Linked DNA regions of Lepisosteus oculatus. The protein of the gene in region 2 purifies or fractionates together with the protein of the main gene of each other region. This does not show direct contact. Links are inferred from orthologs where the notes say so. Each region holds a gene or a part of one and is shown on either strand. Other genes may lie near its edges.

What was found. The genes of interacting proteins can lie anywhere in the genome.
Region 1: the proteins of itpr1b (region 2) and erlin2 purify together in Homo sapiens (affinity purification with western blotting, with the first as the bait; 4 studies listed by BioGRID). This does not show direct contact. The link is inferred for Lepisosteus oculatus from reciprocal best matches to the Homo sapiens genes ITPR1 and ERLIN2.

The regions. Positions count from the first base shown.
Region 1 is NC_090697.1:68,755,012-68,761,003, reverse strand, and holds the start of erlin2 (erlin-2), read left to right. Parts: upstream 1-1,882; 5' UTR 1,883-1,953; intron 1,954-3,446; 5' UTR 3,447-3,447; coding exon 3,448-3,554; intron 3,555-4,104; coding exon 4,105-4,186; intron 4,187-4,826; coding exon 4,827-4,873; intron 4,874-5,245; coding exon 5,246-5,308; intron 5,309-5,598; coding exon 5,599-5,726; intron 5,727-5,992. UniProt on the Homo sapiens protein: Component of the ERLIN1/ERLIN2 complex which mediates the endoplasmic reticulum-associated degradation (ERAD) of inositol 1,4,5-trisphosphate receptors (IP3Rs) such as ITPR1.
Region 2 is NC_090699.1:54,884,942-54,890,933, forward strand, and holds the start of itpr1b (inositol 1,4,5-trisphosphate-gated calcium channel ITPR1), read right to left. Parts: upstream 3,661-5,992; 5' UTR 3,437-3,660; intron 1-3,436. Other genes in the region: sumf1 (formylglycine-generating enzyme), read left to right, coding at 4,484-4,774. UniProt on the Homo sapiens protein: Inositol 1,4,5-trisphosphate-gated calcium channel that, upon inositol 1,4,5-trisphosphate binding, mediates calcium release from the endoplasmic reticulum (ER).

The DNA.
Region 1 (5,992 bases), on a different chromosome or scaffold from region 2:
TTGGGCATTATGGGATAAATATGTTTTCTTAATTTTTTTTTAAAACACCAGAAATACAAAAAAGGAGGCAGAATAATATGAAATATATACAGAAATAGACACTTCAAAGCCAGAGGAATTCACAATTGTGAAAACTAAAAATTATAAATTTAAAAATTATATTAACTTATTGGATATTTCCATTGTATGTCTTGCCTTTTGATTCTTTAAATTTCTAATAGAATTTAAATTAAAAAGGAACTCAACTTTAAAAGCATGAATAGAGGGAGCAGTATTTGACCATTTACGTTTGTGGATAAAGTATTTTGCCAGAATAATTAACAGATTAATAATAAAATCATATCCTTTATCCAAATCAGATCTAACAAATTATAAAATAATATTGTAGTGCTCTCGGGCTCACGTGAATATGCACCCTCGCCACTGCCACCTCAGGTTGGCCCCCCACTGATGGGGACTTGAACCCAGGCCTCCAGCGTCACTCAACAGGGACCCAGCCAGTTGAGCTTAAGCTAAATCACCCATCAGCTGCGGTCCCTGCTGAGTGATGCCAGAGGCTTGGGTTCGAGTCCCCACCGGTGGGGGGCTGACCTGAGGGAGGAGCAGCGAGGGCGCTACATTGGTGTCAGGAGTGGGATGGGAAAGCCCTTTGCCGAGGACAGCGAATTAAGCGGGGGAGAGTGTAACGCATACGGCCGACATTGCAGGTTGTGCGAGCCGGCTTTCCAGCGCCGTGACATCACCGCAGCTGCCAGGCTGATGGGAGACTTCCCTGTGGAGTGACGCCAGAGGCCTGGGTTCGAGTCCCCAGCGGTGGGGGGCCGACCTGCGGCGGCAGTGGCGAGGGCGCATACCCACGTGAACCCGAGAGCGTTACAATATCAAAATCTTTCAATTTAACATTTACCTTTACATGTTGAGCAATAACATTTTGCAGATCTATGGGAGAAATCTACTTGTGAAACTGACCAATTTGCGATGCTAGCAAAAAGTATTATATTACAGGGATAGCCACCCCTAGCCCGGGAGAGTCAGAATCCATCAGGTCTGGTAGGTCACCTGCAAGTCATCTATTTGTAAAGCCTAAGATATCATGTGAGTTTTGAGCTCTTTAGTAAGTTGGGTCTCCTACAACGCGAATGGCCGGGCCGTGGTGCTTATGAGCTTCCTGCAGTTAGAGTATTTATTTCAAACAATCCATCAATTACTTCTCTGACGACTTGCATAGGTGATGAAAACTAAATTGGGCATGCGTTTAGACATCAGTGAGTTAAGGGTGACCCAGAAAACTTGCTGGAATGTCACAGTACACGCAACCAACATTGTGCGACAGGGGGAGATTATGTGGGGGAGCAATGTTTGGCATTTCCTGCCTTTTTCCTGCTGTTTTTGGTACTTGCGCATATTCCAGTTATCGTTGTACCTCTCTCTGTTCGACTGGCTTGGACTGTTACATTGAGACCCCGTCTCGGGCTGGACAGTGTAGTCCACCAGGTTTTCCGAATAATTTTAAATCCCCCGTGAGTACAAGCAACCTGGACCCTGTTAACACAAACAATATTACTTTGAACTATTGATTTCACACACGTCATCAGCTGTGCAGGCTGTAGTGTACTAGAAAACAGAAGGCACGTCATCCCTCCATCACCAGGACTGAATGTCAGATTCCAAGAGCTTTATTGACATGACCGAAACATTACTGCGTTGCCAAAACAGAAACATTTAGCAGACATCTACAGTAAAAACATGATTGGACACTTGGCATTAATCAATACATAAAATATGCTTTAAGTCGGTAATATCTGTTTCACTCCGCTACTGTAGATGGCAGTCTCTGCACCACAATGTATTTCATTCTACCATAGACATCACAGACCAAATCACTAGAGCGCTTGTATCTTTTCCGGAAGTGGTCGTGCAGGTGATTAATTTCTCTGGAGCGAACGCGAACAGGTAAGGCGATTCGAGATATGTTACTTTAAAGCGGGGGCCGAATTATCTCGACACTGGACTATACAAAGGTGTTTCTGTCTCAAAAATCCCATAGTCGTCAATACCATGTATGTCTGGACTTCATAGTGTGATACATTTCTTAAACACAGATGGACTTAATTAACTTCAGTTTCGGTTACTCTAACCAACCTTCGAATGTGTTCTTCTGATTATGACTGTCTGCACTATAAAGATAAATGACGTTGCGTTAAGGCTCTGTGTTGGAATAGCAGTTAAAGGAATAACAGGCGTATTTGCTCCTTGTTTGTATCCTGACGCAAGACGTGTAACATCACATCGTATGGGTGACATTATTCAACAGAAGAAGTACAAAAATGTTAGTTAAGGCAGCGGACTGAAAAGGTCATTTACCTTAAATGAATGCAGGCTGTACTGAAATTCGGACAACGGGATTATATCGAACTAGTAACCGCTGAGCAGATAAAATCTCCCTCCTTCTCTCAGGCGAATCCTCTTAATATCAGGAGAAACACGGGGTCATATATCCTATTGTAAGATCCTACACCGGCGAGTTCCGGCTGCAGGTTTGCTCTGAGTGAGCAGCTGTTGGCTTATTTGTTCTAAGATCTTAGGTTACCGGTCAGTGAGTTCCAGGAAATGTGCACATTGAGTCAAAGTTTGAGCGATCCTCGAAGTGTTGTCGAAACCAGTGCTTTCCATGACAAATGTATTGGTTATTTAAATTAATATTATTTCCACCGGGTTATGTAGCCACTGGCCAGCACCTCTCCAAGATGCAATGCAGATTAAGCAATGCTTTGTTTAAAAAGTCTAATATATTACACAGTGTGTAGTGACATAAACCACTATGTAAAACTAGCTGTGCACTATATTGTGGAAAGGAGTTTGAGATGATAACCTCAAATGAAGTTAAAGAAATAAAGGTGCAGAAGAGTTATCTAGAACTTGGAGATCTGCACCTTGACAAATGTGTTAAAAATAACCACAATTCTGCCCACTATGTTGTGGCACTGGAATGCGAAGGTATTTAGATCTATTTTTCTTTACACTTTACACTAAATAGACTGTTCCTGTGAAGAATTTCCTGAAGAAATTTTAAAAAGGGGCTTCAGGAATCAGTGTGTTGATGCTGGAAGAGGTTTTATTACATGGAAACAGCCAGTCACATGAGCACAGTATGACTGACATTCTCAGTTAAGAGTGGGGGCTCCAAGACTTGTTCTTCGGATTACCAATCCACATGATGTTTTTGCATCAGAAGAATCCTGTTTCTCCAAAGTGTACACTTTGTGGGGGGGGGAGTATTTGATGAATAACTAACTAAATAAGAATAATTATTTGGATTGCCTTTGCTTTATGGAGGCGATGTGTGCCGCAGCTTAGAGGGTGTCAGCAGTCCAGTGCCAGCAGCCCTGACATGATGCTGAACTCCCGGTCCTGGGTCGCGTCTGACTTCTGCTTCTTCCCCCCAGGATGACGCAGCTCGGCGCCATCGCCTCCGTCGTCATGGCGATCACCGCCGCTGCCCTGTTCTCCTCTGTGCACAAGATCGAGGAGGGGCACATCGGGGTGTACTACAGGTCAGTGGCCACGGCTCACTTCACTGGTGCCACCGGTGCCCCGTCTGCTCTGCCCGCGGCTCGCGAGCGAGAGTTTTGCATTGCTCAAACGGTGCAAAGTCATGAAATCGGGCTGCAAATGGACGGGGCTGTTAAAATACTTTTCAAGGTGGTTATAGTGACAAGGGCAGCACGGTGGTGCAGTGCTTAGCATTGCTGCCTCACGGCGCTGGTGCCCTGGGTTCAGTTCCTCTGGTGCTATCTGCGTGGAGTTGTTATGTGTTTCCTGTGTTCATGTGGGTTTCCTCCAACAGTCCAGAGACATACTGGTAGGTTAATTGGCATCTGGGAAAATTGGCCCTGGTATGAGTGGTTCTGTGTGTGCCTCGCAATAAACTTGTGTGTCATTGTCAGGGGGTATCAAGCCTTGTGCCTGTTGCTTTCCAGGATAGGCTCCGGCTTCTCCGTGACCCTGTATTGGATACAGTGGTCAGAAAATGGATGGGTTATAGTCACGGCTTTATTTTTCCTCTTTCTCAGTCACTTTCACTGTTTTCCTTGCCTTCTGCAGGGGTGGTGCCCTCTTGACGTCCACCAGTGGTCCTGGGTTCCATCTAATGTTGCCCTTCATCACCTCTTACAAATCCGTGCAGGTGGGTATTCGTGTGAACGTTTGCCTTTGTAACTCTGTACTTTTTTTTTTAAGTGTTGAATACAAATAGAGCGTTTGTATCTATCCATACATAGAACTGTAGAATCTGCATGAAATTGGAATGAAGGCAGTTTTTCCAAGTTTGAGTTCAAGATCTTTAACCTTTTGCTTTTGTTTCGCTTGTGGCCACACTAACAACTGTTTTTGCCACGTCAAATGAATCCCTCAGTTCTATCCGAAATTCATAAAATGTCAAAGTTTCTTGTAACTATTTGTAGAAATGTCTTTTTTTTTCCATAATGTTAAGCGGCAGGAGATGAATCTTTTTTTTTCCTAAATGAATCAAGTGGTGACAGACTGGAAGATTTCCTTTTGCAAGCTTTTAGAACTGTATACGGTATGGGAATTTTACAAAGGCATCATTGAGCTAAAACAAAGTTCAGTTTATTGGAGATCCACCTGTGATTACTAAATACAGAAAGTGTGTAACAGATCACATGGTTGGATTGATCCCATGAAATTAAACTATCTCACTCAACAGCCCTTTTCTTATAAGATCAGTATTGAAGCTACATAGTTATAGTGCATTGATGTTTTTGCTTTCTGCACTGTTTGGTTCATTCTTGTTCTTTATTCTGCAGACGACATTACAAACAGATGAGGTTAAAAACGTCCCTTGTGGAACAAGGTGAGATATTGATGGGTTTTCTTGCTTGCCTTTATTTGAATAATACTGATTATAACTCGAATAGTTCAGATTACCACTAGTGCTAATATTACTGTTCTTTCACAGTGGTTTGGCAGCGTTGAACAATCTTGATAATGAGTTTTCACTGGCTTATCTTTTACCACACGAGGAAATGGCCTCCTCCTGCTTCCAACTGTTATTGTGTTCTTCAGCACCTGTATATTTACTCTATATCTGTATCTTGATTTCTGATCTGTACAAGTTACACCTGCAAATATTAAAGATATACTCCTATTACAACACGGGTATAGACTACAACTGAAGTGAGAACAGATTTGTTTCCTCACTCCGGTTTCTATGATCTCTTGGCAGTGGCGGTGTTATGATCTACTTTGACAGGATAGAGGTGGTCAACTTTCTCATCCCTTCAGCAGGTAATTCCCTTACCTACAGGGGCACACCCATTATTAACATGGTTACAGGGTCCTTTAATCATGCACGTTTATCACATCTCCATCTGTCAGTCATTAGAAGGCTGCTTGTTCTTGTTATAGTCTCTAATTGGTGTTGCTGTAAGGTGGGATCACACCTCGGATGGTATGCTAGTCTCAACACACAGCCAGCATGTTATTAAAAAGATGAGAGGAAACTGGCACATCTGGAGAAAACCCATGTGAGCATGCATGAATCTGAGTCTCTCTCCCACTCTCTTTGTCTCTACCTGGAGTATACGATATTGTGAGGAACTTCACTGCAGACTATGACAAGGCCCTGATCTTCAACAAGATTCATCACGAGCTGAACCAGTTCTGCAGTGTGCACACCCTCCAAGAAGTCTACATTGAGCTCTTTGGTGAGAAATGCACTCCCTCTGCTGTACTGTGATCTCCTCATTGCTTCTGATAATTGTGCTGTGGCTCCTACTGTATAAGTGCAGTGGGACACTTTGTGCAAAAAAAAAATAATTACGTGGTGAGGAAAAAACTCTCAACATTGGAAATACTCCTAAATTAATAGGAAACTAATTTAAAATGGTCTAGAAGATGCTCTGTGTTTGCTTAATATTAACAGAGTTAGGCTGTTTTTCCTGAAAAGTGAATGATGTTCTCAGTTTTCCAC
Region 2 (5,992 bases):
CCTTTCTTATGTTGTTACATGTATTAAATTACCCAGTGACATCACCAATGTCTGACTATAGTTTACTAGCTCAAAATAATCTTCAAGTAAATAAAACATGAACTGGACCCTGTGTCATAAAATAAACCAAATACACTACAAGCCACTGTACCTTCATATTAACAAATCCATATTGGAGAGCAGACTGTATGCAATCTGAAATGGATATTGCTCAGAAAGACCAAAGGCCTAGCACAGATGTACAGTACATCGCAGGGCTTGAGTCACTGTGTGTGGGAAGACACACATACAACAAAACAAATGTCAGAGACTCCAGCAGGAACTCAGAGGCCAGACTGCCCAGAAACCATTCACTTCCAAAGACCACTTGTAGATATACCGTATAAAACTGCCCCAAGTCTGCCTCCCTAGCAATTCTGGATACAGCACCCTCTGAAAGTGTTGGGACAGTAAAGCCATGGTATTACTTAGCCGTTTCTGCTCTTCCTAGGGTTTCAGCTGCAGTCAAAAACAAAAGGTTTTGAGCCAGAGAAGACTGCTAAATGAGACAGAGAAGAGTCTCTTGAAATCACTGGGATGAATACAAAACATGCTTCTGTTCCATCATCATATGTATTCTTGAAATCACCCAAACATAAAATATCATATTAGACAAATAGATCCTGTCAATGTCATGATTGCAGATTTATTGATTGTACATAAGAAGTTTTGACTGTCGCCTCAATTCATCTGGAGGGCACTGAATGTATTTCAGGAACTCATTTCTGAGAAGAGTAAAACCATAAACAGCAACCTGTTTGACCCTGTTTCAGTGTACCAAACCACACACACACAATTTTTCTCACTGAGAACTGCTGAAATCCAAGGAAGAGCAGAGGGAAGCTAATTGATACCCATTTGCACAAAAACCAGACATCAGCATTCAAACTGCTTCCTGCACTAGATTGCTAGTGATTCTGATTGCATCAGTCTCTTCTAATTCATTCAGGGCTTTATTTTTAGAAGATCAATGTCTCCCTCTACCATTATTCTTTACATTATTCTTTACCCAAGGTAAATTGGTGAAGCCACACTACTGCATGATTTTACAGAATGGATACTTCGGCAGAAGTATGATTACTTCAGCAGTGGCATGAGGTGATGGGAAGAGTTTTATTACCATTAAAATACAGAAAGTATGTTTTTAAAAATTCAGAGAAGAGCAGATATGGGACCTCTAACCTGTCAACTGCTTAAAACCTAAGTTAAAACCTACAAGATAAGGAATTGAAAGCATTGTACTTCTTGTAAAAGTGTGTGGCCTTATTGAAGTCGACCATTAATTGTAAACACAAAAAGAAGCAACTTACATTCAGGAACACAAACTTTGATAAATATTCTCACATAAATGGTGTCCACATTTAAACGTTACCGATCGACTAGAACAGTTTATTTTCATTGCTCAGTGTAAATAAGCACAGTAATTCAACAACACACACTTTGCCTTCATACTTTCCCATCTGTACCCAAATGCACAGAAATGAACAAATGATCTGTGCCTGATTCTAAGATGACAGCCCACTCACCCACTCAAGACTCAGATGTTTTTTCATTACTTCTACCAAGGCAGCCACAATCGCTATACAGTGTTGGACATAAATGCAACAAGTGACTTAATTAGAAGACACTGAATAGAGCATTCGGTGCTCTAAAAAAGAACTGTGTCGCAGTATACAGAGGTCAGTCCACTTATGCATCACTAGTTACTGGGGAGCTACTCAAAGAAATTGAATTGTCCGTTTAAAAATATCAAACTGGTTTCAGCAGACATTAATGCTGGGAATGTTTTGATGTCGTTTATTCATTGATTGTTTGCTTTGTTTCTGACACTTTTTGTTTTCTCCATTTCTTTTTTAGCCAAAAGGTCATTGAAGAACACACAAAAGAACACATATATAATTTACCTGTGTTGAAGGCTATGACCAAGACTGCTCAATATACTATAGTACATCAGCGACACAGTGAATGTTTTGTCTATCAAATTAATCTGATTGCGTCGTTCAATTTTCAAACAAGAGCCAACCATTTACAAAACTAGGCGCATTACAAATTTGAAAAAAGAAATCAAAATACCACAGTTCACTAATTTCCCAATGACACAAAAACAATGAATTTGGGCATTCATATTTATTTAGTAATGTCATTATCCTCCTCCTTACTTAAAGCTATTATCATCAAAACACTGTATTTAAAATGATATTTTGAGAATGTTAAGGCTGGGAATGACAATGAATCATATCTTCCAATACTATACTTCATTCAAAATATTATACATCAGTTTTAAAGCAGCTTACAACACATTCATATTACAAAGCCACTTTTCCGAATTTTTGTATGGCTACTAACTAGAACCCATAAACGTCCTATAATGTCCACAAAACTTAAAATGCCTTTTAAAGCAGAAAAGCGGATTTATTCTGCAAAACACATGATGTCAGGTCAGCCAACAAGTTCGGAGTATAGGTATGTTACTTCTTCGGATAGACGCTGCTTCCTTCCGTCATATTTTTAATATTATGAAACCACCAGAAAAGTTTTAACATGATTTTTACTCACAATGGCTAATGATTACAAATAACCCAATCTCTTTTCTGTCGTATATTCTGTCACTGAACATATTAAGCTATCCTGGGAACGCGACTAAAAGTTAAGAACAACTCGAACAAAAAAGACCGGTACCGCGCCGGCTTCAGTACGGACACAAAGTATAACAGGGTATTACAATTTTAAAAACGCACATCATATTTCCTGAGGCCTTGTATTCCATGTCCTTCATTTTGAAGCTCTTAAAAGCACAGACATGCGAGTCTTTGCAGTAGAAAATGTAGTAGTATATGTGCCCAGTGGTATGCACTTTTCACTATTCGTTGAATCTTGGGAATGGGGTGTGCTGTGCTGCAAAATCAAATGGTACTGTAGCTACTGCACGCAAAGAATTCCCAATAGTGACGGTGAACGCTAGTTTTTAGAGTTACGAATGCTATCTATTAAATAGAGGACTAAACGTTTTTTTTAAACACGATACGAATACTAAATACTTGCGTTATTAAAGCAAAGCCATAACAGTTCTCCTGAGCGTTACGCATAGCGTAAAAGGATACAATCTTAACAATTCCTCTGATTTTTACTATCACTTAACCATAATGTAATTCTATGCCTATTTTTGATACAACGTAAAAAAACTAAAACGTAATCACTTCCATACAGGATGAACTTGAGTTGAATTCATTAGTGCTTTACGATCAAGAACTCATTCGAACCCCTTAAGAAGTTGACGGTAACAACTCCATTGAAAGCGATCTGAGGTTGCTTGGAGATCACCGACTGAAAGGTGCGTCGTAAATTTAACACATTTAAACGAGAAGTAAATACTAACAACACAGGTTAAGATGCTTGCCTTTTAAAACTGCAGAGATGCATACAACTTTACCTTCGCTCAAGGAAGAGCTGGTCTTGGGAGCTGCAACGCTTCAACCTTAATTAGTGGATGATAATTTTCCAGATCCCGTTTTCCTTTAATTCCATGTTATTTAAACTCCCGTTAGAAAAAAAGAGGCGGATCTTTAAGCGCTTTACCTCCCCTCTTCACTCCGCTCTGCACTACCTCCACATGAGCACTACAAAGCTGCACTTCTTTGCCGATTATTATATATCCGCAGTGAACTATGGGAAATGTTGTTTCATAGATCAACTGATAAGTGAAAGTTGACAGTAAAGAATTACTATTTATAACTACAAATCCCATACTGCCAATTATGTGGAGGAGGAGTTAAAGTAAAGGTACTTGAAGAGTCTATGTAGTTTTATATGAAAGAAGTGAACTTATTTTATCGTGCTCTTTTCGTTCATTTCAGAATTGCAAAACGGACTAAAATTATCCGACATTACACCAAACTATCATATATTAACAAAATTATTTGGTATTTTGAATATATGCGTCTTCCTCGATATTATTCCGAAGTATTCGAAACCAGCCAATCGAAAAATGTATCTTACATTTTAAACTGGGTAATCTTAACTACTAGCATGCAAGCTGCTTCAAGGCAATCCTTTAGTTTCATATGAAACCTAATTTTTCCAAGTTTAATAGTATGTTTTACAAGTCGCGTAAGCAGCTTCAGTTTTTCTGTCAAGTTCAGTCGGAAGAAGAATTCAGTGAGAAGACAACTTCAGCAACAGCACTTTGCTGGGACCTCAGGCACTAAGATTGCCATCTTAGTGTTTTATTTTTTAAATGGTGTTACATCGCTTTATACTGTGTTCACACGTAAGGGAGGAACCCAAAATATAGAACTGATTTTTCAATGCCTTTGCTTTTTTGATTAAAACAATGCTGAACGGACACAAAAAGTCAGCTGACTAGTCATGTGACGCTAAACAACTATGGCTGCACGCACAAAGAAATGATTAAGTCTGAGACTGCAGGACTGAGGAAGTTGTAACGATGTTAGCCTTCTCCGCCTTTGTTTTTTTCTCAATAAATATTTTCTTTGCATCTCACGCCAATGGAGCAGACGAAGAGAGATCAGCGACAACGAGAGCGGAACAGCTTTCTTCTTCTAATTCGGCAGGTCGAAGCTGTGGATGTCAATCTTTGAACAGAGAAGTTGAGACTGCGGACACAGAAAGTCTCTCTTCGTTGTCTGAACAAGCAAGTGCCAAATACGCCAAAGAAGCAAACGAAGAGAAGGCACAAAATGAGGTTAATGCAAAAGCTGCAGCCATTCATAACAAGGTGTGATCGATTACCTAAACATCACGCTATGTTAGATAAAGTTTGGGACAGAAAGTTGCGTTTGGAATTGTGTAACGTTTAACATTGGTTTAATTTATCAGACATGCATCTAAGTGTGATGTTCTGTTTACTTCATTTGAACTTTGTTTTGTTTTGCTATAAAGAGGCTTGCAAACTCAGGTTTAAATCCTATTGCACTACTGCCTAAGATTTTCATCTCACCTATGGTGTATAGTGGTTAAAAGTGAAAGTATGCAACGTCACATACATACAAAACGTCATACAACAGAAACCAAATACAGCGAATCTGCTGTTATACAACGTTTTTAAAAACAAGGTGTCTGGGGTCTTGAATAGTTGTATCAATGCCAGCACTATACCTGTGAATGTTTTTTTTATTGTTATCTAATGTTCACTGTTAAAAAACTGTTTTCAGCTCATGAGACCGTGACATCTCAAGTAAATGTCTGCCGGTATTCTGATTATGGAGCTGTGGTCAATGTTGTGAAGTCTTTTAGGTGTTGTAGTGCTAAAACCGAATTAAAACAACAGATTAACTCACTCAATGTACTTGTGAAATGCTGGGATTGTTCACAAAATGACAGTTTGAGTTTAAACGTTTGGGTCTATCCAGTCATCCAGAACACACGCATGATGAGCTACTTGCATCATACTGGAAGTTATGACTACTGTATGATGGATAATAGATGATGCAATCCAAACATCAGAAATGTAACATATAGGAGGAGAGGATTTAGCACATTGTGCTGATTTGGTTCTATTTAAATTTTTATAGACAGTGCTGGTTGCACTGGCAACAACGTCACTCCTATGAAGTCCCCGAAACTAAAGACACAATTTAGAGAAGTTGGGTGCTGGGGGGAAACTGGAGCATTCAGGGGAAACTCACATGAATGAGGGGGAAAACTCCATCTAGACAGACCTCAAAGCTGGAATGGATCTCGGCACGCTAGTGATATGTGAAGCAGTAGCGTTTACTACCACACCACCATGTCATAATTGACAAGACAGGTGATTCTTTTAAGCAAACCATTTCTTTTTTTTTCCCCCAGGGAATATCACTCTCCGGTATGTAGGGTTTGAAGCTGTCAGTCTTCCTGATACTTAGATCTTAGTCTCAATATCCGAACAGAAATCAATGCAGTGTCCATGACAAGGGCTAGTCGAGTGCAGCGCATTATTATTTACATGTTGTAA